3 linked regions of the Stegostoma tigrinum genome follow. The protein of the gene in region 3 interacts with the protein of the main gene of each other region in a pairwise test. Links are inferred from orthologs where the notes say so. Each region holds a gene or a part of one and is shown on either strand. Other genes may lie near its edges.

Evidence for each region.
Region 1: the proteins of top1a (region 3) and BTB/POZ domain-containing protein 2-like interact in a two-hybrid assay, tested with the Homo sapiens proteins (2 studies listed by BioGRID). The link is inferred for Stegostoma tigrinum from reciprocal best matches to the Homo sapiens genes TOP1 and BTBD2.
Region 2: the proteins of top1a (region 3) and BTB/POZ domain-containing protein 1-like interact in a two-hybrid assay, tested with the Homo sapiens proteins (2 studies listed by BioGRID). The link is inferred for Stegostoma tigrinum from reciprocal best matches to the Homo sapiens genes TOP1 and BTBD1.

What each region holds. Positions count from the first base shown.
Region 1 is NC_081383.1:17,875,402-17,885,959, forward strand, and holds the start of BTB/POZ domain-containing protein 2-like, read right to left. Parts: upstream 4,788-10,558; 5' UTR 4,590-4,787; coding exon 4,114-4,589; intron 1-4,113.
Region 2 is NC_081386.1:35,809,910-35,820,892, reverse strand, and holds the start of BTB/POZ domain-containing protein 1-like, read right to left. Parts: upstream 5,378-10,983; 5' UTR 4,908-5,377; coding exon 4,543-4,907; intron 1,435-4,542; coding exon 1,278-1,434; intron 461-1,277; coding exon 355-460; intron 1-354.
Region 3 is NC_081372.1:14,187,561-14,198,841, forward strand, and holds the start of top1a (DNA topoisomerase I, like), read right to left. Parts: upstream 5,401-11,281; 5' UTR 5,275-5,400; coding exon 5,251-5,274; intron 5,047-5,250; coding exon 5,022-5,046; intron 1-5,021. UniProt on the Homo sapiens protein: Releases the supercoiling and torsional tension of DNA introduced during the DNA replication and transcription by transiently cleaving and rejoining one strand of the DNA duplex.

The sequences.
Region 1 (10,558 bases), on a different chromosome or scaffold from region 3:
ATTTACACACACAAGATGCCTTTCAGCAACTTAAGTCAGAGGAATGGAAAAGCATCACAAAAGCAATGCAAGTGATCAGAGTTTGAAAAGCTGGAAACCGTGACAGAACTGCCACAGTACAGGAAGAAAGTGACGTAAATGCATTATGCTCTTACTTGATGGTGATATCAATAATTCAGACACATAAAATGCCTTAATTAGTCTTTACAAAACTCGGAAAGAATGGTCACTTCATATAATTCTAACAAAGCTCCCCACAATTGATGTGGTCAATAGTTCCACTCTCTGAATTTACAGTACCTCTATAATTAATGGCAAAGAAATCATGCAAGCAAAGTGTTTTTACAAATCACTAACAATTCATGTACAACATAATTTGTCACAACTTTACCAACTATGTATATCACAATGCACAAATATGCAAGGAGAGCCATTTCAATTATAAAATCAAGAGGCCTTGCATAGGTTGCAATCATTTTACTAGCTCGGTGGAAAGGCAGGTTGTGAAGGATATGAACAGTTTTTACAGAAATATTGGTAGGTTATGTAAGAGGACAAAAAGTTGGCAAATGCACTATGATGTGGGGAATTGTGAAGGTGTTCATTTTGAAAGGAAAAACAAAAGAACAGAACAATTTAAATGCAGAAAAATGGTAGAAAGCTGCAATACAAAGGGGCTTGGGGGTACTTGTACCCGAGACATAGTACCAAATATTTTTAGGAAGCTGGACAGGATAAATGCTAAGAGAATGTTTCCAGACAGCATAGTCTCAGAATAAAGGGGCATTGGTTGAAGACTAACTGGAGGAAGAATTTCTTCTGAGGGTTTAGGCTCTTTGGAACTCCTTGCCACGAAGAGTTGTGGGAGCAGAATCCTTGGAACATATTTCAGGATGAGATAGATAGATTCTTGATCACTAGTGGAATCAGGAGCATAGGCAGGAAAGTGGACATGAGGAATGTTAGAACAGACATGATCTTACTAAATGTTGGAGCAGGCTCAAGGAGCCAAGTGGGCTACTTCTATTTCTGTAGCCCTCATTCAATGTTGGGAGAAAAAAAAAACAAATCTAACAAAACAAGATCCAACAAAATCCAATCGTCTTGGTTTTGTTTAATCCTAGTTGAGGGAGATCGGAGCCAAGTGAGATAGCTGCTGGAGAAAACAATCCATATAAACAGGAACAGGGTGGTGAGATGAAAACTTTGAATATGATTAATTAAGTATTTGCTGCAGCTAAGTTTAGTATAAACAGTTTTACTATTAGCAATAGCTGCTCAACTTACAGGCTTGTTTTGTATACTGATAAGTTTGCACCAGAACAAATATTGTTTGACTTGCATCCAAGATCATCACTTTGTAGCTTTAAATATGAATACGGTTCTTTTAACGAGAAGACCAAGCCAAAAACTGGAATCGTACTGCAGATGATAGACTAGAAGTTGCCTGATCTGAGAATGCTGGAATAAAGGAGTTACATGTTATAAATCAAAAATGGCTCATCCACTTGAAAAAAGGACCACTGAATTTAAAGTCTACCATCTTTCAAAGAATCTTTACATTTCATAAAAAAGATGTACCACGTGTGTTTTTTGCTGAATCTAACAACCACATGGAACAATAAACGAAGATATGAATTTGCTGGGCAGAGGTGTTCTATATGTACCACAATCAAAGCCAACTTAGTTTACAATAAAAAAAGACACAAAATTTCAAGGCCTTTGCAGAAAATTCCCACGCATTCCACAAGGATTAAAGAAAAAAGTGTCACCATAGTCTGATTGGGCTGTCAGTTTGATCTCTCATCAGAGATACACATCTGCAGGCGATTTAACCAGAGGGTCACCATGCCTCAGGTAAGGGGAGAAGTTGAGAAGGACAGTCCTTCAAAGTAACCTCAGCAAGTGTAAGGGTTGAGCCAGTGCAACTGATATCACATCATCGCAAACCAACTGTCTGAGCTAACAAACTCTTAAAACAGTGGTTTGATGGGTAAATGTGCTATGTAGTGATGAGCTACACTGAAGAGAAACTACTTAATTGCTAGGATAAAAATGGAAGTTGCCGGAAAAGCTCAGCAGGTCTGGCAACATCTGTGAAAAAAAAATCAGAGTTAACGTTTTGGGTCCAGTTACCCTTCCTCGGAACTCAACTGCTGATCTGAGCTGAATTCTGTCAGAACAGTGACTAGATTAATAGTAGTCATCAAATAATAGCTGCATAGACACTGGGTGAAAATAAAATGTTTTTTACATTTTCACCCAATCAGGCCTAATCTAATTCACAACTGGAAACAGGAGCTTATGCTGTGCCCCGACGAGGATAGTGCTCACATGAATTATATCCTGGTGTACGTCACCGCTTTCCGAACAAGAGGGCAGAACATTGTGGTTGACCAAGAACTCACTTGTAACTTCAAAGCATTCTTTTATTTCTCCTAACAGGGATCAGTTATACAAATATGGTTACAATTTTAAGAATAATGCCACAAAATCCGCAAGGAAGCCAGAGCAGGTAAAAACGGTAGAAGGAAGTGACCCATTCAGGACTTTTCCAATGGTGTCACACTCACCTGAACGAGTCTGGATTTCAACTCAAGTGAAATTTAATTTCCACCAGTTGCTGTAGACTGAAACAAGTTCCCCAGAGCATTAGTTACCACCATGCTACCATCTCCCATGTATTGTTAAGTGATTAGAAAATGAAAAAGTCACAGGGGTTCTTTTTCAGGTTAACCGCTGCCCTCCTCTCCCTTCACTGGTTAGGATGCATTATCTGGCATTTCAGTTCCAGCTGACTATTTAATAGTACACTACTAGAAAGCGTGCATCAACATTAGGCAAGATCAGGTTCAACTGCAGAACAACCTAGCAACACAATGCCACAGCTCAGACAAAAAAAATTACATGTATTACATACAAGCCCTCATGTGATTAATGCCACCATTCCAGCACCACAGACAACAGATATTGTAAAAATAACTTTGAAAGCCTGGGACCAAATAACCAATGGTTTAAGCAAGAAAGCTGTACAGATTTGATAGTCCAAAATGTCACTTTTCAAAGACAGTAAGGGCTCTATAATGTCAAGTTGTGCATCATTGCACAATATCTCACTTGATGATGCGCACCAACAGCGAGAAAAAAAAAGACTGTAAAACTCACATGTTTGGCAAGAGTTATGATGTGCATTTTGTATCAGCTGCGTTAAAAACAGGCAGCTTAAACAGACTTGTCACCTAAAATTTGTGAGCTACAACTTAAAGGGTGAGGGGGGGGTTAACAGAAATCTGGAAGCAATTAGATTTTTAATTCCAAATATTAATGCATCAGTGGAAAAACAACTGGGTGGGGCAATAAGCAGAAATCTCTGCCCCCTTTAAAATAAAAAAAATGTTGCTGACACTTGCTAAAATCCAAGCGTAAAGCAGATATTGAGCTTTTCACAGGAATGTAGTTTGATTAGTCTTCTGACTGAAGAGGTGCAAAAGCTTTCAATACTCTGCGGTGCATTAGCCATCTTGCCTTCATTCTGTCGGCGTAATGAGCACTGAAAATGAGACCCTTTCAAGGTCCACAAACCAAAAACGAAATACCCAGACGTACAGCTGCATCATAGGCGCAAAACATAACCTCGTCTCCCCGAAAACCCGAAAGCGATGCGATGCGATGCAATTTTAGTACCTTACAAAGGACAAGTCTGTCTTAAGCTAGTCCCCATTTACTCAAGAAGGCATCACCACCAACTGGATCAGCGCAGCTGCAACCTTCCGCTGACTATGAATGAAGCCCCGAGGCTACAAAAGTCCAGCCTCCCCCACCGCAAAACACCAACAAAAAGGGCGTGAACCATCTTATAAAAACTCAGACTGCGCCTTCCCGACTGCGAGTTTAAACATAATACTTTGATAACATCTTTAAACACGCGGGGAGGGAAACGCCGTAAATATGCCGGGGGGGGGGGGGGCAATAAAAGAAAATAAAATAAGACTTCTCCAGTACTAAAGGACGGGCCGGCATCCGTCTTGGAGCGGAGAAGATCTAGATAGGCCTCAAACCACGGCGTAAGTTTGATGAATAACCGCCCCTCCCCTCCCCTCAGGCCGCACTCACTTAAGGAGGGCAAGGAAGGCGGCGGGCTCGACGTCGGGCAGCTCGATCTCGGTGGAGGTGGTGGCCATGCCGCCGTTGAACATGGCGTCGAAGACGGCGCTGCCGACGGCCAACACGAAGCGGTGAGCGGGGATCCGCTGCGTCCCCATCCCCTTGCCCACCAGGAAGTGCACGTCGCTCAGGATCTCGTTGTTGAACAGGAAGGCGAAGCGCTCCTTCACCGTCGTCTTGGTGGCCTGCCAGTTGTACATGGGCTCCCGGCAAATGACTACAGCCGCGGCCGCCGCTGCTGCTGCTGCCGCCGCCGCCGCCGATCCTCCACCTCCTCCCGGCCCGACCCCGCCGGACAGCGAGGAAGGCGGCGAGGAGCTGGTGCCCAAGCTCGGGCTGCCCGATCCACCGCCACCACCTCCGCCGCCGCCATTAGGGATGTTGACTCGGTTACAGGCGCTGAGGTTGCTCCCTCCCGCCGCCATCTTGAAGTGGCATCTGTTTACAAACAGCAGCTGCTGAGAGCATGGCCCTCCTTAAAGCCAGATCAAAGTCCCCACTTAATACAACTCCCTCCTCTGGAATATTTCTCCAGTTTAATCACAAACATAAATACATATGTCCCCTTAAAAAAAACTAACCCCATCTCCTTTTGCTAAAATTAGCACTTGTAAATCCACTGGTACTCAACAATTCTATACTGGTTGCTGTTATTACAGCATCCCTATCATTTCTCTGTTATCTATGCCCCTTTTAATTACAAATAATGATTTATTAATCTTATTCACCATATTAATATACGGGATGATAAATAACTTTGCCCCCCCCACCTTAATTATTAATTGTAAATCCACTGGTAGTCAATAATTCTATTCTTGTTCCTGTTGTTACAGTTTTTTCTATACATCTCTCGATTAGGTGTGCCCTTTTAATTACAAATAATAAATAACTAACCATATTTATCATGTCAATATGTAGGATGATAAATGACTTCAGCCCCATTTACTGAAATCATTACTTGTAAATCTATTGATACTCAATAATTCCATTCTCATTGCTGTCAGCACAACCTCCCTCCAATCTCTCCATTATCTCTGCCCTTTTCAATCACAAATAAAGAATAATTAACCATATTTATTATTTTAGAATGTGCAATGATAAATGATTTTGGTCCCTTTGCTGAAATTATCATTTATCCACTGATATTCTTTTCTATTAGGTAAACAACACTCGTGTATCTACTTCTGTTATGTCTGTTCTTTTCAATAAAAAATAAATATTATGAGCCATATTTATCTATTCAAAAGTTGAAAGTTCCCTCAACTCCATCTACCGAAATTATTGCTTATAACTCCACTAGTGTTCTGTTTAACTCGATTCTGATTCAACTCTAACATCATGTCTATCAACTGCATTCCATTTAAGTATAAATAATCATAAATCTTTATCATTTTAATATACAGGATAAATAAGTGAGCTCACAGCTCCCTTCTTATGAAATCATAATATGTAAATCCACTGGTGGTCGATTTAATAAATGCAAAAAATTGCAGATCCTGGAAATCTGAAATAAAACACAAAGTGCTGAAGGAACTCACCAGGTCTCGCAGCATCCATCAAGGAACAATCAGAGTTAACAAGTTGAGTTGGAAGAAGACTCATACTGGACATGAAATGTTAACTCTGTTTCTCTCTTCACTGATGCAGCCATTCAATGTAATTTACTTCGTGTGATAGGATATTCACAGTAAAAAGGCAAAATTAATGGGTCTGAAACATACAAAGTATGCAGCACAAAATAATTGAATTAATGACACAAATAGTGGTTAATGGTTATGACTTTATAGCCATTATGGGCACATGGTTACAAAGAGATTTATGCTGATGTCTAAATATTCAGGGGCTTGTGACCTTTTGAAAAGACAGAGAGACAAGTATGGGTGGTGGGCTAGCTTTGTTATTACAAAACAGAACACTAGCTGTTTTGTAGCACAAAGAATAAATCAGGAGATGATGAGTCCATGTAAAAAGAGGCAGGGCATTAATCATGGGTGACTTTAATCTTCATCTTCTCTCAATCTTCATGTAGATTGGGAAAATTGAATTGGCGGAGTAGCCATGATAGCAACTATGTGTGATAGTTTTCTGGAACAATAGGTTGTGTTCATTGAGACAATAACATGCAGTCTAGATAAAGGGGAACCAGTTGTTACATTTTGGATTTTGAAAGAGCGTTCACTAAGGTATCATACATAGGGCCACTTAATAAGGTAAGAACCCGTGGTGGTGGGGCTAGTGTATTAGCAGGGATAGTAGATTGGTTAACTAACCGATAAGACAGTTGTGATCGAGAGGACATTTTCAGGATGGCAACCTGTAAGAAGTAGAGTGCGGCAGGGTTCAGTTCTGGGGCTACAATTATTTACAATATATTAATGACTTGGATGATGCTAGTGATTGTACTATACCCAAGTTTGCAGATGACATAAAAGTAGGTGAGAAGGCAAGTGGTGAGATATGCAGGGATTTAGACAAGGTAAATGAATGAGCAAAAACTTATTAGATGGAATATAATTTGGGAAGAAATGAGATTATGCACATTGGCAGGACAAATAGAAGAAGTGAATATCATTTAAATGGAGATAGACTGCAGATAGCTGAACAACTTAGGGATGTGGGAGTCCCAGTGCATGAATAAGAAGAAGCTAGCACCCAAGTACAGTGGATAATAGGGAAGGCAATAGGGCAGCACAGTGGCTCAGTGGTTAGCACTGCTGCCTCACAGCGCCAGGGACCTGGGTTTGATTCTAGCCCGAAGCAATTGCCTGTGCAAGGTTTGCACATTCTCCCTGTATCTGCATGGGTTTCTGCCAGCTTCCTGTCACAGTCCAAAGATGTGCAGGTTAGGTGGATTAGCCATGCTAAATTTGGCCCATGCTGTCCAGGAGTGTGCAAGCTGGGTGGATTACCCATGGGAAATGCAGAGTTACAGGGATATGGTGGGAGGCTGGGTTTGTGTGGTTTGGAAGGTCAGTGTGAACTTGATGGGCTGATCTGTCTCTTTCTGTGATGTAAAGATTCTGTCATTCAAATGGAATGTTGCCCCACTCAGGATGAATTAAATATAAAAACAGGGAGTGTTTGCTAAAATTATAAAAGGGACTAGCCAGACCACAGACCTGTGGAATACAATGAACAGTTTTGGTCCCTTTATCCAAGGAAAAATATGTTGGCATCAGAGACAGTCCAGAGGAGGTTTACTAGCTTGACCCTGGGTATGAAAAAATTTTCTTGTGAGGGTAGGTTGAGTAGGTTGGGCTTGTGTTCATTGGAATTTAGAAGAATGAAAGGAGACTTTACTGAAATGTTTAAGATTCTTAGGGGATGAGATAGGGTCGCTGCAGACAGTTTGTGTTCACTTGTGAGAATGTCTAGGACAAGAAAGGCATTATCTCAGCGTAAGGTGTGCCCATTTAAGACAGAGAAAATGAGGAATTATTTTTCTCTCAACTTACCAGAGAGGGCTGTCAAGGCTGAATTGTTTAATTTAATCAAGGCTGAGATAACCAGATTTTTAATCCCATGATCTAACTGAATGGTGGAATGGACTCAATTGACTGAATGACCTACTCATTTTTCTTAGGGTCTTATCCAATATTAAGCATGGTATTTTTACTGAAGTTCTCAGGTGTGTTTGATTACATGTGGTACACATTGGACTAGCCAAGTGAAAATTGGAAATCAACAGGAAGTTCCACAAACCAGAAAAAAAATGAAACTGAGGCTATCAGTTTCCAAGTTTGTCTTTCCCTGCATTGCAGACTCAATTTTTCACTGGGAGGTTATCCATTTAATTGAAACACTTCAATGGATGACAGGCTTTCCCTGCAATGTTAGCTTTTAGTGCAACCGGCTGAGGATCAGAAAACCTGGCATCAGCTCTTTTACAACTGCCTGTGGCCATTAGCGGAAAGGAAAAATGTAGTAATTAATCACAGTATAGGAGTGGGAGTGGCCATTTAGTCCTGTCCTGTAATTTAATAAAATCATGGCTGATCTGTGAACTAACTGTAAATGCTCAATTTTAATCTATACCCCTGAATAGTTTGTGGTTAACAAATTTCTGCTAGGCGGTTTAATATCTTGATCTATCTAATATCTTGTTTAAATTTAACAAATGCTTAACCTTCAATTGCCATGTAAAATTGACCATCCAATGTGCAATAGTTTCTTCAGCCTGCCCCTTCCTTATGTGCGTCTGTTAATAGACCCTATCTCATGTTTGAAGACCTCTGTAGATTCTGTGCTTAATGATCCCATTGTGTACATCTTCTACATATAAAGGTTAGGGAGGATAGTCTAACCCAATCGCTGAATTGCACCTTACGTCTCTCATCCAGCTACAAAAATGGCACATGCCAGGTATTGTAAATATAAAATCTTGTGCACATGATACACAATTACATTTTCTTTGTTGGGATAGTTTCAGCAGAGGTCAAACATTGTTATGATTTCATTTCTCATATCTCTATGTATGAACATTGTGGCCACGTCATATTCTAGCTTAAAAATGCTGATATAAACATTCCTGTCCTCACAAGTGTCAGCCATTGTTGTCATATTAACACTGCACACTGACAGACTTTAATTTTCAACACTATGTCGTGTAAAATCTGTACTTTTTAACATTTGTTCTCGGCACGTGGATGTTTGCTCTGCCAATTCACATGGTAATGGCGATGGTGGGAAGTTGTGAGGTTCTGCTGTAGCGACCAACTTCGGTGAAAGACACAAAAAGAGACAATCAGACGTCCTGTCAATATTAAAGCAAGAGTTTGGAAAACACTGTGGAAATTCTACCATGGAAGGGTCGAGAGACTAGTACATAGAGCATAATGAAGCAGTTGAGGTTTTCTATTGATCAGTTTCTGATGTCAGTCCAGTAATCATTGACTTAATTAATACAAAAACAGAAGCTGCTGGAAAAGCTCAGCAGGTCTGGCAGTATCTGTGATGGGAAATCAGAGTTAATGTTTTGGGTCCGGTGACCCTTCCTCAGAACACTGGACCCAAGCTAATTTTGATTTCTCTCCACTGATGCTGCCAGACATGCTGAGCTTTTCCAGGAACTGATTTAGAGCATCCGTAGTTCTTTTGGGTTTTATAAACTTAGTTGAATTCAATTATATGGTTTGAAATAGGACTTGAAGTCACTACCTGTGAGTTAGTAGGTCAGTTTCACTATCACTACACTACAGAACCTGTTAGTGTTTTATATTGAATATATGTTGTGGACATGATATGAGCTGAGGAAAGCAGACATTATTTTCCTTTTTTAAAAAAATACTGTACATTTTAAAAATGCATTATCTTTTTTTAACTAACCTGCTTAATTTTAGATCATTGATCTGTTCAGGTAAACCATCCAGTAATTTAGTTTGTGCTAGTCTTTGAGTTCTTTTAACTCAATGTCTTACGCAGCTATTTAGCTGCTTCCAAAGTGTTAAAGAAGCATTGTTCAGAATTCATGATGACTAATTAGAAGAAACTAATCAGAGATAACTAATTCAAATTGGAAAATATGCCAAATGCAAAATTTCTCACACATATTACTTTAAATATGATATAAAAGGTTACAAAAAGGTATCAATGTTTCTTTTGTTAAAAAGATCGACATCATCTAATCTTACAACAAAATTACGAGGCACTCCTATTTTAAAAGTTTTTCCAGACTGAGAGACGCAGAATCATACAGTCTTAAAGGCCTAATTTATCTTGGCTCAGTGCCCAGGTCTAGTAAGAATGTAAACGGTCAGCGCGGCCTGGCTTTTTTTGCCCCAATGTGACTACGCAGAAAAGAAAATTGCTGTTTAGAATGGACACTAGATGGAGCAGGAGTTCTAGTTTTGGGGAAATGTATATTTTTTGACTGGAGAGCCCCATTTCTGGAGAAGGGTGCTGACCCAAAACGTCAGCTTTCCTGCCCCTCTGATGCTGCCTGACCTGCTGTGCTTGTCCAACTTCACATTGTGTTATCTGTGACCCCAGCATTGGTAGTTCTTACTATCGCTGAGTGAGTTATAACCCCACTGTGAAGCCTCTTCTAGGGACGCCTACCTTGAAGAGGTTATCCTCCTCCCTCCTGAAAGACTTCAGTGAATCTCTCTCCCATTGCAACCCTCTGGTAATCTCTGAAATTGCTTGGCCACATACTGCAGCCACATCGCCTTTCTCAGTACCTGCCTACAGAACCAGATCAGCCCCAGGGGACTCCAGTCTACATTGGGGCCATCCCAATTTGGCCCTGACCGTGACAACCTCAACATACACAAAATCCAGACCCTCCAAAAACGGGTTTTCTCTGTGGCTCCTGAAGCACACGCTCTTAGCAATGCGCCAGCATCTTCTGGCCCTACTATCAAGCCTACCCTAGCTCAGAGCCTCCCTCTCCCAG
Region 2 (10,983 bases), on a different chromosome or scaffold from region 3:
AAAGGGAAGGTGGGGTTCTGTTTACCATCTCATCTGAAAGATGGCTCTGACAGTGCAGCATGGGGAAAGAGAGAGATGCAATTACATGTGTCAGGCCAAATCTCATACAATAATTATCACTCAACAGCTCACCCTGCTGATGATTTTTGTCTTTCTAAACACCTAACCACGAAGTAAAGAACCTGATGTTGATAAAAGTTCCCCATACAGACCATGCCCAGTAACACTTCTACAATATCAGAATATTCTGATACACTGGATAACCTGTCCAATTTATTATTTGGACTGTAACACCATCTCAAAACAAACTGAACAACAAACTCTCTGAATGAACCATCGATAGCTCAAACTCACCGAGATCGATATCAGTGAAGCCCTCGGCACTGATTGCATCCACAGTGTTTTTGTCAATTGTGTCCAAGCATAGGCTGGCCAGCTGAGGCTCATCAAACAAGCGTGCCTGAAACCATTTCAAAAATGTGTAAAATGAGGAGAATGAAACGCACATGTCCAAACTAATCATCACGCGATGGAACAAACGCTGGAGAGAAACTCCTGAGTAACAAATTCTAATTATAAAAGCTAACCGCCTCAAACTTGCAGCAGTGAGAGGGATGGTATTGGGAAGTGAACAGGCTGCCAGCACCGTGGGTAAAAACAGATATTGAACTGGAGACAGGCACATCAGGCATCAGGATTACTCATTCAAAGGCAAACACAGCTTTCACCACAAAACAGCTACTGACTGTGCGAGTGCAGAGCATATGGCTAAAGATAATTTAATTCTCACCATTATTCAGATTGGAAGCAGCATCCCTGGATTTGTTTCCCTCTCCCTTGTGCACTGGTCAAAGGATTAAAAAGACCATTCTATGTGCAGAGATCGACATGTTCATTGGTCATTTTAGGACTTGACAGAATAGATGCAAAGGATTGTTTCCCTCATTGGGAGTGTCTTGGTCCAGAGGGCATAATATCAGAATAAGGGGTCACCCATTTTAGACCATTGAGGATGAATTTCTTCTCTCAGAGGGTAATGAATCTATGGAATTCTTTATTCCAGAGGGCTTAATGATGCAATCATTAAACATATTTAAGGGTGAGGCAGAGAATTTTATTCAGCAAGGGAATCAAGGGTCTGGGCAAAAGGCAGGAGAGTGGAGGTAAGGATTATCAGATCAGCCACAATCTCACTAATTGGCAGAGCAAACTCAACATGCTGAATGGCTTATTTCTGCTCCTGTATCTTATTGTGCCTAGCCATAATAAAAAATCACCTGAGTTAGTAACATGAAAGCATTGTCAGCTCGCAGGTGTTTGGTGAGAAACTCCACACAATGGGCTTCCAAGGCTGGTACTGCATATTTCTTTGCTGTGTATAGAGTCGTCATCACAGTCTCAGGACCAATTTGTACTTCATCAGAATACAGAAACCTGCATAAAAACAATACAAATTCATTGAAAAACAGCACAGAAAGGTAAAGGAGAATAATCCATGGTTGACCGCAATCGACAAATTCAGCTATCCTAAAATGCAAAACCCATTTCTCCACTGCTTATTGACAAGACTCTTCACATTTAAGATTTCTTGGAGGTCTTCAGTTTTGAACAATTGCAGAAAAAAATCTGATTGTGAGAAAATACCTGGAACAATTTATTTAAATAAAAGAGATTGTTGAAAGGTCACTGTGAAGAGTGCTGATTTTTAAAACGAAAAAAGGCTTACCAAAAATTACATAACAGATGATCACTTTTGTCTGTAAATTCTGCTGGGGTTACTGGAACAGTGACTGGATGGAGTGTACTTTCATCCTGAATTAGTTGGTGGACACTTCCTAAAATGTGGGATTAGCATAGATAGGTTGGCACCGACTCAACAGGTTGAAGTGCCTCTTCTGTGCTGTATGAATGTAAGACGAGAGATTTGGGAGGAAGCTGATTCCTCCTATTTCTGAAAAATCTCTTGTTGATTTCCGGGAAAAACCTATTTGTCCTCCTGAAAAAGAGTGATTGAAGGGACTTCTCAATATTGAATGTCCTGAGCAAGTGTGTCAGAGACAACTGTGCATGATTTGACTCTCAGTGACAACAATTTACATATAACACACATAAAAGAATCTCTACCATAACGTGGATAGATGCGCAGAGAAATAATTTTCATTGTTATCAGGCTTCTCAAAACTTCAGGGCATCCCAAACTTCCTCTCTACAAAGGTTCTGTCACTGCTAGACATGTAGGAAAATGGTCACCAAATATACACATAAGTTCATACAAATGAACACTTGCAAATTCGAGAGAGTCTACTTTTGTTGTTGTCGAGGGACAAATTTTGGCCTGGACACCAGCGACTGATAATACCCATCCTTTGAATCGTGTACATCTTCTTCAGATGACAGATGGTAGCTCCAGTGTGCCACACCTCCCCTAAATTACTAACCCTACTGTGTACCCTACAGCCTCCCCCACAATCAATTCAGCACTGGTCCTCCAATAGTACTGTTCACTCAGTACTGACACCCAGTACCCCCAAACAGGACTGGGACATATACCACATTCTCCTACAAACACAAATACTGCTTCATCTGCCAGGATCCCTGCAAGTATTACACTCCTTTTCCTTAATTTTACAAACCACAGTAAACTACATTTTCTATATCTTTTTTCTGATGAAGGGTCTAGGCCCGAAACGTCAGCTTTTGTGCTCCTAAGATGCTGCTTGGCCTGCTGTGTTCATTCAGCTCCACACTTTGTTATTTCTTATTTCTACCTCACCTAGACTTGTTTGAAATGGAGAAGACAAAATATCCCCATTCACACGTATCTGATTCACCCTCAATAGAACTTTCTCCCACTTTGTCTTTTGGAGTTCAGAGACAGATTGTAAACAATCTCCAAAAGGTTATGAACCTGAATACGCAAATGCTTGGATTTTTTTGTTTTAAAAGGGGAACTATTTGCACGTCATTTTAAAGCTCACTATCTTATTCCAGCCAGACTTAATATACAAAAGCCTCCTTTAAATACTGGGTTTCCAACTGCAGCTGTTCATAATCTCTCTACCCTCATTAACCAACAAACACAATCATCCTCACCATTACCAGGATTTGCAAATCAACTGTATTAATTTTGACAATCACTCACAGAGAATCATAAAATACAGGATGAGGCTATTTGGCTCATTAGAAATGCAAGTCTCACTAATTTATGTGTACTTTCCTCAAAGACTTGAAAATTCTGTCTTCACGCATCTAAACAATTCAGCCTTAAACCATCTCCATCTTCAATCTGAGATAATGGGAACTGCAGATGCTGGAGATTCCAAGATAATAAAATGTGAGGCTGGATGAACACAGCAGGCCAAGCAGCATCTCAGGAGATGCTGCTTGGCCTGCTGTGTTCATCCAGCCTCACATTTTATTATCCATCTTCAATCTTTTTCGTTATTAAATGAACAAACTGCTCCAAGAAAAATTGAAAAAATATTTTTGCTACAACCACAAAGATTTTTCTGCAGGGCTTCTTGGAACAATATTCTGTAGGTTAAACTTTAATTGCCAAAGATTCCAGCACAATGTGGGAGAGTTTGCTAAACGGTTTGTTTGACCTTCAGTCGTGTCCCTTTCTCCATTCTGTACGTGGCTTTGAAACTATCATAAAAAGTTATTACGTAGTGAAAACAAAAATTGCAGAATGTCTAGTCACTGCTAAATGTACTGGATCTACCCAAGTGCAAACACTCTCTAACAGAACAATTAAACCACACCATCCTTTCAGAAAAACACCTTGGAACATAATGTTAATAATTCAAAGGGTGAACATTGAAATTAGACTGAGCAATGCAATCAACACGGGAATTTGTTGAGACAATAATATCCCAAAGAAGTGAATCCTGCCCCCAGTCTGAACACAGCATGTAATGTTTCACCTGCAATAACAGCGAAGGTTTAGCCATATTAAAATAAAATTCTGAGCCACACTGAAGCTGTAACGAGACTTTTGTATTTGTGTAGGCGCCGCGGTATTAATAACATTAGTGTGAGGAATATTCACTGATTAACAATAAGAGACGGGGCACCGCCAGGGCCGCAGTTCATCTTCATGACACTCCGGTTTAATCAGTAAAAATAAGTAAATTATGGACGATGCCCCTCTCTTTGTTTACTGTTAATAATTATTGAATAAGAAAATAAATGAATAATTTATTTTTAAAGCAGTCACACTAACCAGAGGCAGTTTTAATGAGAAATCCCATCAATCTGCGAGGAGACCTGGCGCCTGCGATACTCAGATTGTTATAAATGTTAAAGGACAACAAACTGTCTGCATTTAGGGACACTCGCGTCAATAATTCTATTAATAAACAAACTGCACCCAGCTGTCATTTCATCTTTACACAGAAACAGTGATGTTATTTATAATAAATAATATAGTCCTCCGTTAGGAATATTCTTGGCATCGACGCAATCCGTCAGCGAGAATCGCAGTTGTTATCAAGTATTTATTTGTAGGCCGCAGCCCCGGGCTCGAGTAGCTCCCCTCACCTGAGCAGCGCCAGGAAGGCGGCGGGTTCGACGTCAGGCAGCTCGATCTCCGCCGAGCTGGTGGCCATGCCGCCGTTAAACATGGCGTCGAAGACGGCGCTGCCGACGGCGAGGACGAAGCGGTGAGCGGGAAAGCGGCGGGCGCCGGGACCTTTGCCGACCGCGAAATGGACGTCGCTCAGCAGCTCGTTGTTGAACATGAAGGAAAAGCGCTCCCGCACCGAGCGCTGTGCTGCCTGCCAGTTATACAGCGGCGGGGCCGGGAACTGGGCCCGAGGCCCCGGGCCCACCGCCCGAGCACCGCTCTCTCCCGGCCTGAACCGCGTCCTCGCCGCCGCCGTGTCCTCACCCTCCGCCTCAGCCATTTTCACAGCGCAGCCCGGGGTGGGGCCACGGCTAAGACCCGCACCAAACACCCAGACACAGACCCACACACACCCCCCTAAATGCAGACCCACGCACTCACTGACACACACCCCCAGACACAGACCCACACACTCAGTGACACACACCGGCCCACACACACTCCCCTAAATGCAGACCCACATTCGCACTGACACCCCCAGACACAGACCCACACACTCAGTGACACACACCCTCAGACACAGGCCCACACACACTCCCCTAAATGCAGACCCACGCACTTACTGACACCCCCAGACACAGACCCACACACTCACTTACACACACCCCCAGACACAGACACGCGCTCACTGACATACACCCCCAGACACAGACCCACATTCTCACTGACACACCCTCAGACACAGACCCACACACTCACTGACACACACCCCCAGACGCAGAGCCACGCACTCACTGACATGCACCCCCAGACACAGACCCACGCACTCACTGACATGCACCCCCAGACACATCCCACACACACCCCCCAACACAGACCCACACGCTCACTGACACACACCCCCGGACACAGACCCACACGCTCACTGACACACACCCCCAGACGCAGACCCACAAACTCACTGACATGCACCCCCCAGACACATCCCACACACACCCCCAGACACAGACCCACGCACTCACTGACATGCACCCCCAGACACATCCCACACACACCCCCCAACACAGACCCACACGCTCACTGACACACCCCCAGACGCAGACCCACACACTCACTGACACACACCCAGATGCAGACCCACACACACCACCAGACGCAGACCCACACACTCACTGACACACACGCCCAGATGCAGACCTACACACACACACCCCCAGACGCAGACCCACACACTCACTGACACACCCCCAGATGTGCGCACACACACACGCACTCTCACTGACGCAGACCCCCAGACACACACCCACACACACTCACTGACACACACCCCCAGATGCACATCCCCATACACTGACACACACCCTCAGATGCAGACCCTTACATACACTGTGACACACAGACCCAGAATGACATACACACTGACACAGACACACCCCTGCACAAAACCCACACATACTCCCAGACACACACACACACATCCCAGAAACAGACTTATATACATCCAGACACTGACATGTAAACAGAGTCCCAGGTACATATAGAAACCCACACGCACACACCGAGACAGACATCCGTACACACTCTCAGACACTGACACTGACACACACTGGCATTGACCCAGACAAAGAGCTACACAGACACTCAAGATACAGATCACACCCAGGCGCATGCAGTCAGGCACTGACACACAAATATTCACACAGACAGACACCCAGACACATGCAGACGGACATGTAAATACACACAGAAACTGACACACAGGAACCAACATACACAAGCCCACACATAAACATGCACAGTCAAATAAATCCAGACACATACACACACACAGATAATGGGAACTGCAGATGCTGGAGAATCCGAGATAATAAAATGTGAGGCTGGATGAACACAGCAGGCCAAGCAGCATCTCAGGAGCACAAAAGCTGACGTTTCGGGGCCTAGACCCTTCATCAGAGAGGGGGATGGGGAGAGGGAACTGGAATAAATAGGGAGAGAGGGGGAGGCGGACCGAAGATGGAGAGTAAAGAAGATAGGTGGAGAGGGTGTAGGTGGGGAGGTAGGGAGGGGATAGGTCAGTCCAGGGAAGACGGACAGGTCAAGGAGGTGGGATGAGGTTAGTAGGTAGATGGGAGTGCGGCTTGGGGTGGGAGGAAGGGATGGGTGAGAGGAAGAACAGGTTAGGGAGGCAGAGACAGGTTGGACTGGTTTTGGGATGCAGTGGGTGGAGGGGAAGAGCTGGGCTGGTTGTGTGGTGCAGTGGGGGGAGGGGACGAACTGGGCTGGTTTAGGGATGCGGTGGGGGAAGGGGAGATTTTGAAACTGGTGAAGTCCACATTGATACCATTAGGCTGCAGGGTTCCCAGGCGGAATATGAGTTGCTGTTCCTGCAACCTTCGGGTGGCATCATTGTGGCACTGCAGGAAGCCCATGATGGACATGTCATCTAAAGAATGGGAGGGGGAGTGGAAATGGTTTGCGACTGGGAGGTGCAGTTGTTTATTGCGAACTGAGCGGAGGTGTTCTGCAAAGTGGTCCCCAAGCCTCCTCCAGCCTCACATTTTATTATCAGAGATGTTACGAAGTGCCTTTGGAACAGCTGGAACTGGAACCTGGTTCTCCTGGCTCTGCACTACCACTGTACCACAACAGCTCATCCTCTCCATACCACCCTGTCAAGACCTCTCAAGATTTTGTATGATTCCATCAATTGACCTCTTCTAAATTCCAGATACAAGCCTAGCCCGTCCGAACTTTCCTCATAAAACAACCATCCCACTGCCGGTATAATCTCGAAAACCTTCCCTGAACTGCCTCCAACTTGTATGCATGAAGACAGCCTCAACCGTGATCTTAGGACTTTGGCTCTCAATGTGACCCCACCATACTGTTCTATATCTGTAAGATCTTCCTAGCTGTCCTGTTTTGACACCATCATATTGATAAATTGTTGTCATCCCTCTATCTTAATTAGTTTGTACAGTTTTGGATCACGTATTACTTTGGTTAGACCCCCAGCGTGCGATTCATAGCTATCGTTATTCCAGTCATTTGGTTTGTCTCCAGCACCGCCTTATTTTAAATTTTTTGTAATTATCTCTCTATCTTATTTAAACAGATTATGAATCATCCCTTGTTATTCAGGTGTTGCCACTTTACTCACACCATTTGATACTTTTGATCATGTACAGAGACTTATTATTCCAAATATGCATCACACCATTTGTATGATCTTTTGACCTCACTACTTATGAATTGTGTCTCTGTGTGCATCTCTCTCACTTCACCTGATGAAGGGGCTATGCTCTGAAAACTTGTGATCCCAAATAAACCTATTGGACTATAAACTGGTGTCATTTGAATTCTGCCACAGTCTTCCACACGACTGAAATGAGGAAGAATTTCTTCAGCCAGAGGGTGGAGACTTTGAGGAACTCATGGCTGCAGAAGTCTGTAGAGGCCAAATATTCGAGTGTATATAAGAGATAGATAGGTTCTTGCTTGGTAAGGGGATCAAGGATTAATAGAACATAGAACATTACAGCACAGTACAGGCCCTTTGGCCCTCGATGTTGTGCCGACCTGTCATACCGATCTCAAGCCCATCTAACCTACACTATTCCATGTACATCCATATGCTTATCCAAATACGACTTAAATGTACCTAAAGTTGGCAAATCTACTACCGTTGCAGGCAAAGCATTCCATTCCCTTACTACTCTCTGAGTAAAGAAACTACCCCTGACATCTGTCCTATATCTTTCACCCCTCAATTTAAAGCTATGCCCCCTCGTGCTCGCCGTCACCATACTACGAAAAAGGCTCTCCCTATCCACCCTATCTAACCCTCTGATTATTTTATATGTTTCTATTAAGTCACCTCTCAACCTTCTTCTCTCTAACTAAAACAGCCTCAAGTCCCTCAGCCTTTCCTCGTAAGATCTTCCCTCCATACCAGGCAACATCTCCTCTGCACCCTTTCCAAAGCTTCCACATCCTTCTTATAATGCGGTGACCAGAACTGTACGCAATACTCCAAGTGCAGCCGCACCAGAGTTTTGTACAGCATCACCATAACCTCTTGGTTCCGGAACTCGATCCCTCTATTAATAAAAGCTAAAACACTGTATGTCTTCTTAACAGCCCTTTCAACTTGGGTGGAAACTTTCAAGGATCTGTGTACATGGACACCGTGATCTCTCTGCTCACCTACACTACTAAGAATCTTACCATTAGCCCAGTACTTTGCCTTCCGGTTACTCCTACCAAAGTGCATCACCTCACACTTGTCTGCATTAAACTCCATTTGCGACCTCTCAGCCCAGCTCTGCAGCTTATCTATGTCTCTCTGCAACCTACAGCATCCTTCATCACTATCCACAACTCCACCAACCTTAGTGTCGTCTGCAAATTTACTAACCCATCCTTCTACGCCCTCATCCAGGTCATTTATAAAAATGACAAACAGCAGTGGACCCAACACCGACCCTTGCGGTACACCACTAGTAACAGGTCTCCTGGACGAACATTTCCCATCAACTACCACCCTGTCTTCTTTCAGCAAGCCAATTTCCGATCCAAACTGTTATATCTCCCACAATCTCATTCCTCCACATTTTGTACAATAGCTTATTGTGGGGAACCTTATCAAATGCCTTGCTGAAATCCATATACACCACATCAACCGGTTTACTCTCATCTACCTGTTTGGTCACCTTCTCAAAGAACAAAGATTATGGGGTGAAGGCAGGAGAATGGGATTGAGAAACATATCAGTTATGATCGAATGAATCCAGATTTGTATTATTATCAAGGAATAACGTTGTAATAGTCGAGGATTTTAATTTTCCAAACATTGACTGGGACTGCCATAGTATTAAAGATTTGGGTAATGAAGAATTTGTTAACTGTGCTCAAGAATAGTTTACTTATGAATAGGTAAGTATTCCTACTAGAGAAGGAGCAAAATTTCAGCTTCCCTTAGGAAATAAGGCAGGGCAAATGACTGAAGTGCCCAGGGGGAACACATTGGGACAAGGGATCGTAATACTATTAGTTTTAACATAATTATGGAAAAGGATAAGTCTTTCATAAGGGTTAAAGTTCTTAATTGGATAAGGAAAACTTTAAGGGTATAAAAGAAAAAGTTGCAAAAGTTCATTTGAGTAGATTGTTCACAGATAAAAGGACAAGTGGAAGGCCTTGAAGAGTGATAATGACAGTTCAGAGGCATTACATTCTTTTAGATTGAAAAGGAAGCTGGCAAGATTAGGGAATAAAAGACGAATAAAGATATTGAGTTTCTATTCAAGATATAGACAACTTGGATCCCTTGAAGCGAGGGGCATTCTTAAGGAAATCGGGAAGACAAAAACAGGATATGAGATAACCTTGGCAGATAAGATTAAGGATAATTTTTAAAAATTCAACAAATACATTGAGAGCAAGAGAGCAATTAGGGAGACTAAGATCAATGAAGTTGCCTCAGAAGATAGGAGAGATATTAAATGAATATTTTGTGACAGTTTTTTACTGTTGAGAAAAAAATGGAGGCTAGAGAATTCAAGGAAATAATTATTGATGTTTTGAAAACAGTTCACATTGACAGAATAGGAAGTGCTGGAAGTCTTAGATAACATAAAGGTAGATAAATTTCCAGAACCTGATCTATTGTATACCCGCACATTGTGGGAAGTTAGGGAGGAAATTGTTGGGCCCCTAGCAGAAGTATTTGTATCATCTGTAAAAGTGAGTGAGATGCCAGAGGACTGGAGGGTGGTTAATGTTGTGCCATTGTTTAAAAAAGGCTGCAAGGGGATGTCTGGAAACTATAGACTAGTTGAGGCTGATGGTGGTGGGTAGGTTGTTGGAGGTTATTCTGAAAGATAGGATTTACATGATTTTGGAGAGATAATGATTGATTAGAGATAGTCAGCATGGTTTTATGCCAAGAGAATTGTGTCTCACAATTGATTGAGTTTTTTAACAAAGTAACCAAGAAGATTGATGGCAGCAGATTCGGTAGACAATGTTTACTTGGAATTTAGTAAAGCCTTTGACAAAGTTCCAAATGGTAGACTAATTAGTAAAATTAGATCACTTGGGATTCAGGGTGAGCTTGCCAATTGGATACAAAACTGGGATTTCAGTCAGAGGCAGAGGGTGGTGGTGGACAATTATTTCTCAAACTGGAGCCCTGTGATCTGTGGTGTTCCACAGGGATCAGTACTGTGTCCACTTTTGTTTGCCATTTATATATATGAATTAGATGAGAATGTAGGAGGCATGGTTAGTAAGTTTGCAGATGACACCAGATATGGTGTAGTTGACAGTAACAAAGGTTATCTAAAATTACTGGGAGATCTTGATCAATTGGGTCAATAGGCTGAGGATTGGCAGATGGAGTTCAATTTGGA
Region 3 (11,281 bases):
GTCAGCTTTTGTGCTCCTGAGATGCTGCTTGGCCTGCTGTGTTCATCCAGCCTCACATTTTATTATCTTGGAGTCTCCAGCATCTGCAGTTCCCATTATCTCTGATACCAGCTTAATTACCCTATTTTCTTTCAGAACTTGCCTTTTTCAGGCAATCAAAATTATCCTTGAAACTTAAATTCCAGGGAGAAAAAAACCTAGTTTGCGTAACTTCTCCTTGCAATCTAACATTTGGAAATCCTAAGATTTTTGGTTCAACCACATTTCACACCCTCTAAAGACTATAAATCCTACCATGTGAGATGCCCAAGATATCTCAATACTCCCAAGTGCTGGCTAACCAAGGCTTTGTTTCGTTGTAATTTCTGTTCTCCAGATCTAAAAAAAGGAGAACGTGTTACCTTTGCACTTTTGATTATTTTATGTACTTTGTAAAATTTTAATGAAGTTTGTTCTTTTTGCTTGGTTACAAAATCTGTTTGGACCACTACTTTTGTGACATTTGCCTGTACCCCATTCCATCAGTGGATGACTGCACACTGAAGATCAATTTACCAGAGGAGTTTTACCCATTCACTTTACCAATCTTTAATTTTACATTTCCACCTACACTGCTTATAAATGTGGCCTATCATGAGTCACTACAAAATTTAATAATGGCTTTGCATCCCATCTTTGAAGTTGCTATGGATATGGCAAATACTACAGGCCCTAATACAGATCCACGAAGGTCACATCCTGTCAAGAGTGGAGGCCACTATCTATGCTTCATTTCTTTCTGCTCAGCTAATATTCTAATTATGCCAATACACCGTACTCAGTTTCATGGGCTTCAACTTTAGCTAATGTCTGTTATGGGGGACTTTATAAAATCAAACATCTTGTTGAGGTCTGTAGTAAATAACATGCGCAGACATTACTTTCGATGAAGTAATGAAAACCATTCACAGGGTAATCAGTTATATCAGACATGCCCTTGTCTTTACAGGCGTAAACCAGTTCTTTGATCAACTGAAAACTTAAAAAGATGCTCATTCACACTCTGCTTAATTGTAGATAAGTAATTTCCTAACAATAAATGTTAGGCCAGCAATTCGATCATTCCCCAAGTTTCCTCTGTGGAATTTTCTATAAGTGCTTAAAGCACTCTTAGGTAAATGACCAAATTCACCAGTGCAAATGCAGTGACTTAATATCAAATTAATTTTTTTGAGAAAAGAAAACCCCCCCCCCAGATGTGATTTCTGGCCTTACATTGGATTCATTTTATCTGAGCAAAGTAGATTCATCCTATTTCTCAACACAGAATAATGGACAGTGACCCCCAGCCATTTGGAAATTGTACATGTGCAGTGACTGCGTTATGATGATGATTTAGCAGCCCAGGCTTGTGAAGCAAGAACAAACATTTAGGGATGGTAGCAGAAGAATCACAGAATCCCTACAGTGTTATCTCACACCACCCTTCCTAGTAGGGTCACTGGTATCATGTTACAGCAAGACTCACTGATTTAAAGACAACTGAAAAAACCCTTATGATATGTTACTTCACTCTTTAGTACAGTTTCCAAGTTGACAGCCTGGTAGGAGCTGTAAAAAGCCAACAAGGTAGAATCTCACTGATCTTTGGCCTTTGCTCCATTAAGTGAGCCAAACCAGTACAATTCCAAATATTATAGCCAATATTATTTCCCCTAGATAACAAGGTGGAGAGCTGGATGAACACAGCGGGCCAAGCAGCACAGGAGCAGGAAGGCTGCCGTTTCGGGCCTAGACCCTTCTTCAGAAATGGGGGAGCAGGTTCTGAAATAAACAGGGAGAGAGGCAGAGGCGGATAGAAGATGATAGAGGAGGAGATAGGTGGAGAGGAGACAAACAGGTCAAAGAGGTGGGGATGGAGTCAAAGGTGAGTGTCGATGGGGAGGAGATAGGTCAGACCAGGGAGGACGGACAGGTCAAGGGGGCAGGATGAGATTAGTAGGTAAGAGATGGGGGTGGGGCTTGAGGTGGGACGAGGGGATAGGTGGGACGAAGGACAGGTTAGGGAGGCGGGGACGAGGGTGAGCTGGGCTGGTTTTGGGATGTGGTAGGGGGAGGGGGAGATTTAAGTTTGTGAAGTCCACATTGACACCATTGGGCTGCAGGGTTCCCAAGCAGAATAGGAGTTGCTGTTCCTGCAACCTTCGGGTAGCATCATTGTGGCACTGCACGAGGCCCAGGATGGACATGTCGTCTGAGGAATGGGAGGGAGGAGTTCAAGTGGTTCGCAACTGGAAGGTTTATTGCGAACTGAGCATAGGTGTTCTGCAAAGTGGTCCCCAAGCCTCCGCTTGGTTTCCCCGATGTAGAGGAGGCAACAACGGGAACAGCCCCTAAGCTGAATTTGAATAGATTTCACAGATTATCTAGTGATTCCAATTGGGATGATATTCTAGTCAGATCAGTTTTTGCTGTGCACTACCCATGAATCCAGGCTCATTTACAAAGAGTGGCCACTGGAGTGTAAATCCCCAATACCCATGAAATCACAACTTAACATGAGACTGTAACTCAAAGGAAGGAGAGTTGTACTTTAAGGGCTTTCAAGTCCGAGAAAAGTTAGTTGCAATAGACTATGCAGAATTCTGTGCTTTCCACCTGTTGACCATGAATACTACCAGTGACGTGGGCTCTAGGAAAAAAGAAATCAAGAATGCAGAAGAATGATTGGAAGGTTACCAGATAAAGGAACCACATGGCCTCAGCTTTTGCAATGATTTTGTCACTGCAGATCACTGGTCAGTGAAGAAAACATGAGAGGAATTTCAGCTGAAAGCCAGAAATATTAGTCTACCACATTAGTTATGGTAAAGACAGAATGGATACAGAACAGACAAAATTCATCCCACAGCAGGTGCTCAGCTTGGAAGAGAGTTCAGAGTTCCTGCTTCTGATCTCCCTAATGTGCCCAAATTTGCCTTCAAGGAAGGAATGAACATGCCTTGCTCAACGTACCTGGCTGAATAGTTGTATAAAATACCAAAAAGCATCAGAAATATGGAGCCATATTATGAGTTACTGCTTTGACAAAAGAAAAATTGCAAACAATCTTAACCGGTACCCTATGTAACAGCCATTCAAATTCAGTGATATTTGCATTCAGACAAGCAGCTTCTCAAATCACACCTTGTTCTTCAAATGAAATCTGGAGTAAAATCCAATTCATCACCAAGACACAGCACCTCAATGAGCAGAATCAAACTTTAAATGTTTCTTTCTGAAAGAGTTCTAGTTTTATTCTTTATCAATATCCTACAGCAGTATAACTTGCCAAGGAAAAATCCAACAGCATTCCACTGTCCATTCATTTTAAATACTCAGTTTCTTCAACTAAACTCAATTCTCTATTACTGCACCTCCCCAAAACCTCACTTCCTTCTTCAAGCATTCAATCATGTGTGCTAGCACAGCAGCTTGTCATTTAACAGAATGGCTTCAACATGCTGAAAAATTAAAACACAGTTGCTATTGGGCAATTTGAATCTTAAAAGGGAAGATGTCATACTTCAATGCACATTTCATAGATCCTTTTATGCTTCAAAATGATAATGCAAAGTCCAACTGACTTTGTAAATCATTCTGAATGCCAAAGAATAGTATATTGAAAAAGGGTATTTCAACAAATGTTAAGATCCTTCAAATTACATATATGTTTCCATTTTTTTGCATCCTGCATCATCCTTGATCTCATTAGAACTGCAATCTTTCAAAACTGAAAACTTTTAACTGGATCAATATCTTAAATCATCACACATTAGTACAATAATTTTAAGCCTCACACAGAAAGGATCTCGATTGCATATCTGTAGATGAGCTGCAAGATGGAATATAATTGATCACAAAGCTATTTAAAAATACCCTCTCCCCATGAACCAACCCAGCAATGCCCTGTAAGTCTGAGTAGACTTTGGGAAAGACTAGTGCTTTTTTTGGGGAAAGGAAACAACTTAAAAGGGTATGGAAAATTTTCTGAAACAATGTCACCACTGCACAGAACAATCATGACAATGCTTACAATCTCTTATTTGAAGACATGACAATCATTATCCCAGCACCGATTCTTTTTCAAAAGGTTAAGCAGATAACCCCTATTTTCCTTAGTAAAAAAAAGCTTCCAGAAGTATCGAAAACCTCAAACTAGATAAAAAAATTCAACGCAAATCGAGAAAGTCTTTTTTTAAAAAACCTAGGGGCAGGCAAGAGAGGGGGGAAAAAAACCATGCAATGCAAACTTAAAAAAAGGGAATCTTACAAAATACTGCTTTTAAAAAATATATAAAAATACATCATAACCTTCACGGTGCTGCCACCATGTGAGTAGAGGCATTGCTGCTCCATCACCCCCCCCCCATATAAAAAAGGCATAAAATGCAAACTGCATTGAAAAAAACAAGTTGCAATTTCTGCCGCCATCCCTTTTGTGTGTCTTCTAGACCCCCCACCTCTCAGAATTCTAAACCTTTCTTCCTCGTTCCTCCTGCCTTCTTATTTAAATGCCCGGCACATTGCTGTCGGTGTGTTTTATATATTTAAAAAAAAAGAGAAGGGAGCCTCGCTCTTAACAACATGCACGAAGCAACTGACACACACACAGTCAGAAAAAATAAAATGGCGCAGAGACTAAGTCCTAACGGCCGAAAAGCCGGCTTTTCGCTCGCGATGCCGGCCCGGCCGAAACCCCCAACAGCCCTCGGGCAGCCTCACGCCAGACTCTGGGTGTAGTGGAGGCGGTCGGCGGGGGAAAGGGCTCGCTGGGGAGCCGGCAAGGCGGTTATTTTGGAGGCTGATTTGAACAATAGGGCTTGTGGGCACGTAGACGGGACTTAGTCTCTGGACGCCATGTCTGATCCTCTTGTTCTTCCCTCAGAGAGAAAACAGGAGGAGAGGGAAAGGTCGAGGGAGGTGGTGGTCGAGGGAGGGGGGGGGTAATGAGGGGGTAACGAACAAATTAAATAAAAGCAATTTTCACCTCAAATACTCACCGTTCAAGCGGGAATCCGTATTGAGCTGTGAACACAAGAAAAAAAGGGGAAAAATCCACGTTAGTACTTTGCTTCCTTACAATCAAAAGGGCCACGAACCATCAAAGTGAGAGACAGATGAATTTTTTTCACAAGTTTCAAGTCATCAAATATATGTTTTTTTGGGGGGGGGGAAATAAAAGACACGGGGTTTTATAAAACGCACGGTCTGGAAGGTCGTTCCACCTACCTGGGAGAGGTGATCAACGCTCATTGTTGGAGGATGTTTCTTTTCTGATTATTCTATAGGGTTTTTTTGTGGAGTTAGTGAGGAGTTGAGTTCTATACACACCAAAGACCTGCTCAGATTGAACTGCTCCAACCCCCTGTACAACGTCTAAGTCCCAGTTTCGACGTACTGCGCATGCACTTGGATTTAACTTAGAGGCGAATTTACATTTCAATTGCCTTGCCCTCACAATTGGTGGCTTCAGCTGCACCAAAGAGCTGATTTAAATAGCACAGACACGCCTCCCTCTTTGCCCAAACTCTCCCCAACCCATCCAACCAGCCCCCTGAGCACCCTCCCTGGGGGCATCAGACTCCTTCCTCCCAGGAAGAGAGGGGATAAACTTTACTCTTGCTTTGTAGTTGTTGGAAAGTTAAGGCAATTCCTCTCAACAGAAGCTGAACAGACATACGCACACACCCTTCCTGTTCCACATCCAACCCCAGACTTCACCCAAAGGACACACCTTCCCCCCACCCCTTTCAAAAACTCAGTGGACCATCAACTATAGAAAAGTTAGCACAGCAACAACTCTCATCAAGCCAAATGATGTCACAGTGGTTTCTTCTGATGTCAGGGCTTCACGATCAGAGCAGCAGGTTAAGTTACTCCAAGCTTTTGCAACAACTTATTTCATGTGGCACCTTTGAATTAGTAAATAGTCCAAAGGCACTTTGCAGGGGTGTTATCATGCAGAAGGAATGGACACAAGCCAAACAACAGCGACTTGAGTTTCTGTGGCACCTTTGGAAAGCATTCCAGAGCCTTATACAACGATGTTTGCAAACCAAGTTTGACGCTATGCCCACTTAATGTGGACAGCTGATCAAAAGTTTAGCCACATCCCAAGGTTTTAAGGAATGTCTTGCAAGAGGAGAGGAAGAGACAGACACCATTTGCCAGAGAATTCTAGACCTTCAGCCCTAGACAGCCAAACAGACTGAATTAACTCCACAGAGGCCGGTATCTCATCACCAAGTTGCTCTTTATTTACACATGCATGGTATTTCAAACTGGTCCGGATTCCACAGAACCAGCTGTCAGAGTGAACAGAACCTCTGATGCTCCTGTTTGTAGCTGTCAGCCAGGGCTCCCTGACTGGAGCAGATTAAAAGCACCAGATAGGGAACTCATATTCTAGGAAGTCCGCCTGGCTGACCTAATTTCAATATAACATCCAACTCCTACATCAAATCTAAATCCGGGAAAGGAGGCAGGCTCTTTTTCTTGTACCCTGCACTGGGGTGTTTTCCTACAGAGTCCAGTTCCTCTGACTCAGCATCAGATACGGGCAGTGTGCTCCAGGTCATAGCTCGCCTATTGCACCCAGGGTGTCAGGTGGTAAAGGCATCGAGGCTGCAACGTCCACCATGTCCGTCTCAGACTCCAAGACTTCTTCAAGGCTAGATTTAGACGGAGAGCCCACAGGTCCAGACAGCCTTTCTGGCTACTCTGAGGTGCTGGTTATTTTTTGCTGACCTATTTGTGCGTTTGTAGCTTTATTGATGACCACATGCTTGTTCAGGACCACCTCACCTACTTGAACTTTGTGTGTCACGGGACCAGACCTTGCATTGGCCATGCCTCTTACCCATGCAGGGTCATTTCTGTGAATCTTACATCGAACTTTATCCCCTGAAGTAAGCTGTCTCTTACCGAGGGGAGTCTTGTGTCCAGCCATTTCTCCCCCACCCCTGCCATGCCCCAAGTCTTGGAATATCAGGTTTAACCCGGTGTGGAGTTTCCTCCCTGTTAGCAACTCTGCTGGACCTATCCCTGTAGTTGCATGAGGGACGTGGTCTGATAATCAAGTAGGAACCAGAACATTTTGGTATCGAGTGAAGATGTAAGCTGTTCCTTGAAGTCTTCCATTAGAGTTTAGACTGCTCTTTCTGCCAGACTATTGGATGATGGCTGGCATGGAGCTACTCTTATATGCCGAATGCCATTCAACTTTAGGAAGTACTTATATAGTCATAGGGTCATACAACACGGAAACAGATCCTTCAATCTGACCAGTCTATGCCAACCATGATCCCAAACTAAACTAGTTCCACCTCCTTGCACTTGTCCCATATTCCTCCAAACATTTCCTAATTACATACTTACCAAAATGTGTTTTAAACCTTGTAACTGTACTCGCGTCCACCACTTCCTCTGGAAGCCCATTGGACATATGAAGTACTTCCTGTAAAAAAAAAATGCCCCCATGTCTTTTTTTAAGTTTTTCTTCCCTCAATTTAAAATTATGGCCCCTGGTCTTGAGATCCCACGTCCTAGTGAAAAGACACCTGCCATTCGACTTATCTATACCCCTCATAATTTTATGAACCTCAATAAGGTTGCACTTCAACCTCATAAATCCCAGTGAAAAAAGCCCCAGCTTATCCAACTTCCCCTCATAACTCAAACTTTCCATTCCCGGTAACATTCTGGTAAATCTCTTCTTAACCCCCCCCTATTTAATAATATCCTTCCTGTAACAGGGTGACCAGAACTGGATACAATACTCAAGAAGAAGCCTCACCAACATTCTGTACAACCTCAACATAACATCCAACTATGTAATAATTTATGGATCTAAGCAAGGACCTAAGCTCCAGTACAGATGTGCAAGCCGGACCGCCTTTGATTACCCTCGTAGTATCTACCAAGGGTGTAACCCGGTTTTGTCAGTAGCCCAAATAGGTCACTTAGAGTGTCTAGAATACAAATTTTTTCCTTCTAAGGCATTTGGGCACCTGGGAGAAATTTGTAGCAATATGTCCAAATTCTTTTTAAGTACTCTTTATTGGTCTTCCCAGTTATTAGCACATCATCCAGATAATTGGCGACTTGGAGTAGACTTTGTAAAATGTTCTCCATTCTCTACTGAAAAATAGTGCAGGCTGAAGGTACGCCAAATCTTGTATATCAGTACAAACCCTTATGGGTATTAATTGTAGCATATGTCTGGGAATTCTCATCTAACCGCAATTGTAAGTTTGCACAGTTCTTGCCCAGCTTTGTTAAGGACAGCTTCCAGCCAGTTTGGAATATAAGTCCTCTATGTGACGGATTGGGTATTAATTCAGTGCAAGAAGCAGTTTACTGTTTGTTTAAAATCTCCACAAGGTGCACTGATCCATTGGGCTTCATAATCGGTACTACCGGTGCTGCCCATTCTGCAAACTGTACTGGTTTGATGATTCCTTCACTTTCCAGCCTCATGATTTCTGCCTCTACTTTTGCCCGTAAGACAATTAGCATTGGGTGTGCCTGCAGAATCATGGAATTGTTTCCTGGTCAAAATATAAGGTGGCCTTGACTCCTTTGATAGTCTCTGGACGTCCCTGAAAAACTTCCAAGTATTTAATTAGGGCTTCAATCAGGCAGCCATTTTCCAATCCAAAAATGTTGAGCCAACCAAGGTGAATCTTCCTCAACCAATTTCTCCCCATCAGGCTTCGGACTGAGCCTTTTACTATAATCATTGTTAACTGAGCTAGTTGCTTCCCATATGGGACTGGAACTGAAATTGTACCTTAATATGTAAAGATTCCCTGGTGTAGGTTCTCAGTCCAGTCGAGATCTTATGCAAATTTAAGGGTCCAGAGCAAATTTTGTCAAAGACTAGTTCTGCAATCACTGATACAGCTGCACCGATATGAACCTCCATTAAAACCGGTTGACTTCTTAACCAGACGTTTATTTTGATTGGTTCTGATTTGGATGTTGCTAAGCAATTTAACTGTTCCAAATCCGATGAAGGTGGACTTTCCAGGGTGTGCACATTCTTGGCTATTGGCCGATGAGTTCTTTTACTCAATTCAGGCCTCATGACACTTCTTTCTGTGCTACTGTTCATATATAATCCTGTGTAAGGTTCTTGGGAAATAGAACCTTGTAAACGTACTGCATTGGGCAACGTGCATCAAAATAGCAAAAGCAACATGCTATTGGTTGGGCTAAATGATTCCCCAATCAATGGGCCAAATCAAAACATTTCAATTCTGCCAAATCGAATTAAGATTGGTGGTAGGAAATTAAACAACTACTTGGAGAAGAAGTCTCCATAAATATCTCTGTCCTTAATAATTGGGGAGCACAGATTCAAAGAGAAGGCTGAGGATTTTGCAACCATTTTCAGTGAGAAGAGCTAATGGGTTGACTATGTTGGATTCCTTTTGAGGTTTCCAAGATCATAAAAGTCAACCTTCAGCCAATTTGTATCATGTCACATGGTATCAAGAAATAGCTGAACAGACTGGACACAGCAAGGTTGTGAATTTTTTAAAAAATCCTGCCTTTAGAGCTGAAGACCTGTGCCCCAAAACTAGTTACAATCCTAACCAAGCTGTTCCAATACAACTACAACATCAGCACTTAGTCAGCAATGTGGAATATTGTCCAATACATCCAGTTATGTAAGATGATTCTGAAGCAGTTAATGTTAAAGCTGCAGCAAGCAGCATCCAATCCAATGATGTCAAGCAGTCTTTAGGTGGAGACAAAAAGCCTGAAATGAGGTCCCGATGGAGATAGGTGTGTCAACTCTGGCTCCTGATACTTTTTGTAATTATGCCTAACAGCGTAATATAACTTGGAACCTATTGCTCTCATGCAATAAACTACACCTTGACTTGTAAGACGAATTTCTTATTAAGATTAAATAGTGGCTTGTTGTCTGCCACTCAGATAGCCCTTGTGGCATAGTGGTAATGTTCTGATGTCTGAGCTAGGAAAATTAGGTTCAAGTCCCAACCTAGTCCAGAGATGTGAAATAATATCTTTGAGCAGATTGATATTTGAAGCAAAGTATAGGAGGAAATAAAGAGACTCATTCTGCAGTGCATCACCACCCCATAACACTATTTTGATATTCTGATTCTATCAACAAGTTTCTGTCAACAACTTGATTTTGCTCCTGTTACAATGCCCCAGCATGGGCTGCTTAACCTGTTATAACCTTTTTTTCAGAAAGGAACAGAAAGAGAGATTGGTGGTTACTAGCTAGTAACTAGTGGTCAGTACCACAACTTGTAACTTCATAATCAGAAGTGGGATCATTGCATAACTACCTCAAGGTGACAATGGGGAAATAAGTCTTTTTGACCAAGGAGAAAAGATTTTCAGAAGATAAGTCTGCTTATCACTTTGAGAATATGTTGCTTCAAGAGCAGTTAGGCAGTCAGTTATCATACCTCACTGAAGTAGTGAAGTGGAATTTAAGCTATTCCTGGGGTTTTACCAAAGTTTAAAATTTTATTAAAAAATGTAAAATTCCCTAAATTACCTGTCTCTTTAGACATGGGTTAACAATTGACCAGATTTCTATATTTAAGAATTACAATTTATTGCAAATAAAAAGGTTCGAGCTATAGGTAAACAACTATGAACTCTTAATATGTCACTTTACTGGTCAAAACTCTTATTCTCTTATAAACACCCCATACACGTACTTGCAGACTGACAAAATAAAATTGGTGTTACAGAAACATAGAAACTAGGAGTAGGAATAGACCATTTGGCCTCTTGAGCCTATTCTACAATTGAAATATGATCATTGTTGATCCCTTAACTCGAAGAAATATTTCCATTTTCTTTCCAAATCCTTTGATGCCTCTAATATCTAAAAATCTGTTTTTTTGGATATGTTCAGTGACCTGGCCTCCACAGCCTTCTCTGGAAGTGAATTCCACAGATTTACCACCCTTGGGGGAAGAAGAGTCTCCTCATCTCAAACCTATATGTGCCATTGAAGCAAAGTATAGGAGGAAATAAAGAGAGTCATTCTGCAGTGCATCACCACCCCATAACACTATTTTGATATTCTGATTCTATCAACATACTTCCCCTGGTTTCTGGCTCCCCAGTTAAGGGAAACACACTCCCTGCATCTAGTTTGTCTAGCCTTGTTAGAATTTTATACTTTTCAATCAGCTCCCCTCATATCCTTCTAAACTCTACTGAATAAAGGCTTCATCAATCCAATCTGTCCTCCTATGGCAGT